Saccharomyces cerevisiae S288C: one gene and its partner. Changing the gene in region 1 together with any one later gene gives a genetic interaction. Each region holds a gene or a part of one and is shown on either strand. Other genes may lie near its edges.

Evidence for each region.
Region 2: mutations in SPT21 (region 1) and SDO1 impair growth when combined (synthetic growth defect), as found in Saccharomyces cerevisiae (one study listed by BioGRID).

What each region holds. Positions count from the first base shown.
Region 1 is NC_001145.3:618,190-621,950, reverse strand, and holds the start of SPT21 (Spt21p), read right to left. Parts: upstream 2,094-3,761; coding exon 1-2,093. Other genes in the region: FPY1 (flavin adenine dinucleotide pyrophosphatase), read right to left, coding at 2,648-3,472. UniProt on the Saccharomyces cerevisiae protein: Required for normal transcription at a number of loci in yeast.
Region 2 is NC_001144.5:183,674-187,087, forward strand, and holds SDO1 (guanine nucleotide exchange factor SDO1), read right to left. Parts: upstream 1,254-3,414; coding exon 501-1,253; downstream 1-500. Other genes in the region: IRC25 (Irc25p), read left to right, coding at 1-489; IZH3 (Izh3p), read right to left, coding at 1,825-3,414. UniProt on the Saccharomyces cerevisiae protein: Involved in the biogenesis of the 60S ribosomal subunit and translational activation of ribosomes.

The sequences.
Region 1 (3,761 bases):
AACATCCCACATGGTGAAGACGGTATTGCCTTTTGCTTTTTGAGGGCTTCCTCCTCTTCCTCTTCATCCAAAACTTCTTCATGAGATCTCTTACTTTGCTGAGTTTCCAGCATGCTAGTAAGCTTTTTCGAAGCTGTAACATTATTATCAGAAGCTGGCTGGTCAGCTGGAGTAGAGAAATTTATAAGCCCTGCCTGAGGTTTTGTATTGTCCGAATCTATTACAGATGCCTTTCTATCTTTTATATCATTATCACATGGGGTGGCATTATTACTATCTGTTATATTTAGTGTCGATCCTTCTTTAATGGATATACGCTGCATGTTTGTTGTCGAGCTTGAATGTGTAAGTTCAATTAAAGGTATAGACAACGAGTCTATTGGGGAGGTTTTGTCAACATCGCTAGGCAAAGATATTTTATTATTTTGCGCTGTTTCCAATTCACTGACATCTTCATTTTCGAGAGCAATGGTGTTACAGGTGTTTGGATCGTTGAGTGTTATAGAAGGCTTCAAATTTTGCTGATTGAGTTGTGATGCACTTGCAGAAGTTGGTGATTCAAAAAAATTGCAATTGAAATTGGAAAACCATCCCATCTCATCTTTAAATACTACATCCGAAAAGTCACTCATGGGGAACTCAGCGTTAAAATCCAAGTCACCTTCAAGCTTGTTCTCTTTACTAGTTATGCTTTGGGGTGGAATATTTTCTTTATCATTTTCACTAGTTAAAGATATCTTACGCCCCTTTTGTTTTTGCTGCAATTTCTGCCCTTCAATGCCTGGTTCCGATAGAATGTCACTTAAAATTGAATCGTCATGATCATTTAAATGTTCTATCACTGATGATCGCCTACATCCTGCTTGTGTAGACTTAGCCGAATTTTTGGAATTCGAATTCTTAACTTTGACAATCGTTTGCTTATCATTTGCTTTTTTTTCACCACTAGTCTTCGGCGGTTGCTTTGGATTTATGTTTATTGAAGCTGGTTTTTTTGCTATCGTTGCTATACCAGGTGACACTTTTTTCGTAGACTTTCTTTTGTTGAGCATAAAATCGAACCTCTTGCTTACCGAATCATCGATCTTGGTCCTCTGAATAGTATTATCGTTTTGCAAAGTATTTATTTCGTAAGCTATGTTTTGATGCTGGTTGTTTTGTTGATTGGCTTCTGTTTTTCTATCTGCTAAGTAGATTTTGTGCGCAATTGAATTTCTTGGGAAACCAGTATTCGCTATATTTGGTTTAAGATTCCAGATGGGTAAAGACTGAGTTCTGACAGCTTTTGGAGCAGGCATAGGATTCGTCTGTCTTCTTCCCACAGTCCCGCTATTAGTATTATTTATTGTTATCGTGGTCCTTGCATTCCTTGAATTTTTTATTTGGTTTGTCTTGAAAAGAGATTGCGATTTTGGGGTAAACGGAAGTGTTGCTGATGGTAAAGAAGACGGCATTTGAAGACACGATATCCGAGAATTTGTAGTATTGTTACCAGACGTCCTTAAATTGGTTATAACTTTTGTGAATCTTAGTTTAACCTCCAAAGTTTCTTCCGGAATTTGGTTGTTTACGACCCTTCCCTTTTTATTCGAGATGTTGCTATATGATCTTCGTAGTAAAGCGGAAACATTCGAGCATACCCTTCCAGTAACTATAAAAGATTCATCTTCATACTCTTCTTCAGTTACCTCATCTCTCTCTTCACTTTCTTCTTCACCAATATTGTTTTCTGTATACTGGTAGGGGCTATTCTTATGAAACTTTTTTCGAAGCCCGGAAAGAAGACCAAGGCTTACTAATGGCTCATCCACTTCACATATGTCACGATAATACAAGTTATAATCATATCCATCTTTTAAAGTGTCATGGTCTAACACTTCAGGTGAATTTAAGTATATTTCATGCAGTATAGTCTTCAAATGGATGGCGCCAATTCGCAACTCCGTTTGCTCATTCGAATCTGTCGGGAATGGACTAGGAATATTAGCAACTCTTACCTGTTTTGGAGCCCTTGAGCGGGCTAAATAACTACCATTGGATCCATTATCCAATGTGTAAAGGATCTTCAATGTCATTTGAGAGAGTTCAGACATTTTACCAGAGTCTTTTGTTCAAGTGAATACCAATTCCAATCCAGGTTTCAGTTGCACCTGGTCAAATTGACTTCAGTTATGTGTGTTGACTAGGTTCAGCTTAAGCGTTGCTTATAAAAGAAGAGATGTAGTAAAGCAACAAACTCACCACGGCTCAGTGCAATTCCCAAGAACCGAACTCTCCATTCAATGGGTCTTTCTCTTCACACACACCTTTTTTCTAACGCGACGCGTTTTTTTTACCTTTTTTATATCACGAAAAAAAACGCGACCGTAAATGAAGGTTTTTCCTTTCATGGAGCAGTTGTATCTATTGAATGAATTATATACCTTTTGCTGGTTTGGTCCTTTCGGATATGCATTTTTCAAATGTTTACTTTAGCGATTGAAGCTCTAACAGTAGCAATGTGATCTTTAATTTTTCAAGGTACCTTTCTACCACGAGCAGTGTACTTTTTTGTTGAGAAGAAAGCGCAACTACCGGCGATGACTGAGATGACTTTGCTCCCAAAAAAAAAATCTATATCTATACATAGTTCTAAATACTCGGGTATTCAGCTCTCCTGGTTCGAGAACTTGTTTTCAAGTTCAGAAGAAATTACTTCTCCCTCGAGGTTATTAACAACTCTATTGACAATACTCTTCAGATATGAATCGTCTTTCTTTTCACCCAAAATACTAACTGTATTGAATCCCATACCAAAATGTGGGTATGAGCCTATTTTAATGGCTTCTGAAACTTTTGTTGATTCATCCTGAATCAACTTTAGCTCTTTAGAAATTTGAGACTCAGTTAGGTGTGTTCTGACAAAATAACGAACATACTCACGTGGATCCTTGTCCAAATTATATATTTTTTTCAACGTGGGAGTGAACGCTTTCAGCATCCTTGCAAATAGTTGAGGGATACCGGGTAGTATATACATTTTGTGAGATATAGAACAAATAGGTACCCACAAGTCATCACACACATAATAATTTTTGACGTTTGTGCCTTTTGGCATGGTTGCCATTTGGTAATGCGCCTTTAGAGCATCTGCATCAAGCCTTGCTTCAGGGTCAGATTTATGCCTCATTCGTTCTTTGCATTCTTCATCTAGTTCACAAGGCAAATTAAAGCTTTTCGCCATACATTCGTAAGTGATGTCGTCATGAGTGGGGCCGATTCCACCTGTACTGATGATAAAATCATAATTTTTGACTAATCTTCTCACAGTATCTACGATCTGGGTTTCATCATCCCCTATAGTTGCAATTTCTTTTAATTGAATTCCATGATCAAAGCAATACTTCGCAAAAAAAGTGGAATTTGTATCAACTACTTTTCCATTCAGCACTTCATCACCAATTATGATACAAGCTGCAGTTACTTTCACCATTATACCCTTGACAGTATATACTTTGCCTCCTTCAGTAATTCTTTTATGTCATTATTATCACCAGTAATGACTGCTATTGTTATATCCCTCGCTCTTTCCTTTTTAGTCTCTCGGGCAGCCATAGTCGTTTTCCACGTATATTTTTAATAGAGAAGATCCTAAAACATTCAGTTAGAGTATTATAGTTAATGATTTATTTTATAAATAGTAAATGCAATTTGTATATAAAACGTACATAAATCAAATAGTAGGTATACGTGACAAATATAAGCGTATTGTCTTTCCTTTT
Region 2 (3,414 bases), on another chromosome or scaffold:
TTGAACGCTTCATCCGAAAACAAAGAATTGTATGTACAAGCCACGCACTTTAATAACACAATTCTATTGCAAATCAGACTAAATGGGGAAATGGATTCCACCTATGAGGTATCTTCAAAAGGACTAAACCCAATTCTCGATATCAACGTACCACTGGCAGGAAACCTAGGAAACACGGGTGGCGATTATGACGATGAGGAAGAAGAATTTGTAAGAGACCATTTATCTGATTATCAAGTGGTTACCAAGTTGGGAGATAGTGCCGATCCTAAAGTACCCGTGGTATGCGTACAGATTGCCGAACTATATAGGAGAGTTATTCTACCAGAAGTGAGCGGTACGATGGCCCAAGACAACATGCAATTCAGCTTGCTGATATCCATGAGCAGTAAGATATGGAGAGCAACGAAGGAACAAAGCGCTGACGATAATGATTTTGGCAAATTAGTTTTTGTGTTAAAGTGTATCAAAGATATGTATGCAAAGTGATTCTATATAAATTAGTTATGCGTTGTATTATCTATGACTGCCATATCCAAGACTTGCACAGTTCCCTTTTTATCACATAGGGTCATCAAATCTCTATAATTGACAGGATCGATAAGACCTGTACATGTCCAAGGATCCAATTCCGGCTTCGTTGACTCTCCAGGCGATGAAGCTATCAATTTACTAATCTTCTCAATAAGTTCGGGTTGTCTAGATGGCTCACTTATGGCCACTTTGACTTTCATCTTCGCCCTTACTATTGGAATAATTTGCTTAGAAACCAATAATTTGATAGCCTCTAAAGCTTGCAATTTGGCAGGTTTGTTAATAACAGGGCTGAACTTCAGTTCCTGTAAAGCTTTGTGGATCATTGTGGGCGGATATCTTTTCTTTGACACAGGATTTATACATTTAGCGCTAACTATTGTAAGCATTTCGTTATTAACTTTATTAAGCATTAATTGTCTTTCTTTTTCCGATAATTGAATCTCTCCCTTATGCATGATCTCCTCGATGACATCATCAACATTTGTAGTCCCGAAACACTTTTGTAGATCTTCCTTATTAGCAACCAAGCCTTTCGAAACATTCATGAAAACTTGATGTATCTGCAGCACTTCATCCAGATCTTTTTCAATTCCTTTTCGATAGTCTTGGACCTTATTTTGGTAGCACGCGACTTCAAATCTCTTGCGAGCCTTTTTTAATCTCACTAATGAAACATTAGTTAACTTAATCTGTCCCGACGGTTGATTGATAGGCATTGCGTGTTTTACCTTTTCTTTCTCAGAACTATTTTAGTAAAAATTTTAAAAACTTTTACTACTGCATGAAATCACTTAAGTTCGGCCTAGAAAAATTTTTTCATGAACATTATTATATATACAAGGCACTGAGCAGAACAATACACGCTAAGTTTTGTTCTTTCATGAGGTCATAATAAGTTAAATAACAGTCAATACATAAATGCAAAACTAAAAGTACACAGTTTTATTATTTTCTTTTCGTCGTAATGTAGTTTTTATAATCAGTCAACTTTTTTTTTGCTTTTAGATTTCGTTTGTTCCTTTTGTCTTTGGATCCAAAGTTTCTTGAAAATGTAGCCAAAACAATGCCAGCAGGAATATCGAAAAAGATGGGTATAATATAAGTAAAAAAAAAATTTTAACAATGAAATAATACAGGAGAATTCGTGGTTTACAATTTCTGGTTTTTTTCGAAATTGCTATGTGGCTTCTCCAACAATGTAATTGTAGGCTTTTCTTTCTTTTAAGTCCGTTTATCGTATACAGAAAAAGTGCAGGATGTTGTAAGTAAAGGTAGTCAGTCATACCATCATGACAAAATCCACCTCTTGGCAAACATATCTAAAATAGCTCTATAATGGCCGATGACACCCAACACTACGAAGAAATGCCAAAAAGTGTGCGAACAACCAAAATAGTCAACCCACCATAGAGATTTAAATGATTTGGCATGAGACGGACAGGAACTGCATTTGGAATGGGCTGTTGGCACCTCTCTAAAATGAATTTCCCTTTGCTTTGTGATGATTTCTAAATCAGTAGATAATTCGTAGTTTGTTGGAATGGTCTTATCAACCTGAACGTCAGATCTGAACCGTTCAGGAATGAACGAACCGTAAAATACCACACCAACCAAATACCAAACAACAGATTTGTATGTGACGGGGCTAAATAGCGTTGCAGCATAATGAAGATCAGTCAAAAATATCAAATGTAAAAACGACAATACACCCATAGTAGCCAGCAAAATGAAGAATCTAATTCTTAATGGCCTTGCTTCAGGTCTATCAAAGCGAGGCGACCAATTCATAAACACACCAAATACACCCAGCGCCAGAGAAATACTCATGTAAGTGTACATCGCCCAGTAACATGAATACATGGTAACAAACTCCGTTGTCAATATCGAAGCTGTAATTAAGATCGTAATACCGCTATAGTCGACACACGCAAATTTAGAACGTAGCTTCAAGAAGGACGTTCCGTTGAAAGTATGCCAAAACACGGAGCTTAGCATACATTTCAACGCAGCTGCCAAAAACATGAAAACAATCCATCTAGCCTGTGGTGGAACCTGGGAATTCCGCCAAACTTCAGACTGAGGGAAATCGTAAATTGCCAAGTAGATTATATAAATGGCTCCTAACAAATGAGACCAAATATTTGAAGTTTCATTATGCCAGCCGTACCAGTTAAAGATAGACAACAAAGATTTGGAATGGGTATTGTAAAACCTATAGCCATGGATTATGTATCTGTTTTCCCTCCATGGGAATGGCAACTGATAATAATGTAAATGTTGAGTTTCACCTAGACTATACGCTTTGCCATGGTTGTATGAGTTTATAAAAGACTTGATATCGGTAGTAGGATTCAAAGGTTCTTCAATGAGGATTTCCGTCTTTACCATGGATTTTCTCATTGGACCGCAATAGTCTTTCACGCTGGAAATATAATTGTTTTCCTCTTTGATTTTTGTATCATTGAGACGACTTGTTGGGGAACGTAACGAGGACTTCGCTTGAGAACATACAGTTGAAGATGAAGACACCAGTGAAGTGGATGTAGAAGCATTGTTAAGCTTGAAAGTAGCGACTGAATTCACCAAAGTGGCTGCATCTGAATCTCCCAGTGAAAACTGAGATTCTGTATTCAGAGACTTGCCACTGTTTCTTTTGTACACAGAACTTGTTACTTCCTTTTCTTTTGTTGGACGAATTATCTCCAAATCATCATACCGCCCACTTTCAGAGTGTTTAACACTTTCATCAATAGTTGAAAATGGATGAGGAACGAATTTTGAGTAGTTGTAATTATAGATGGATTTACCGGATTTTTTCACCTTCTGAAAATTGTCCACACCCTTCTGCTTTAGCCTTGATAGAGATCCCATGGGTGA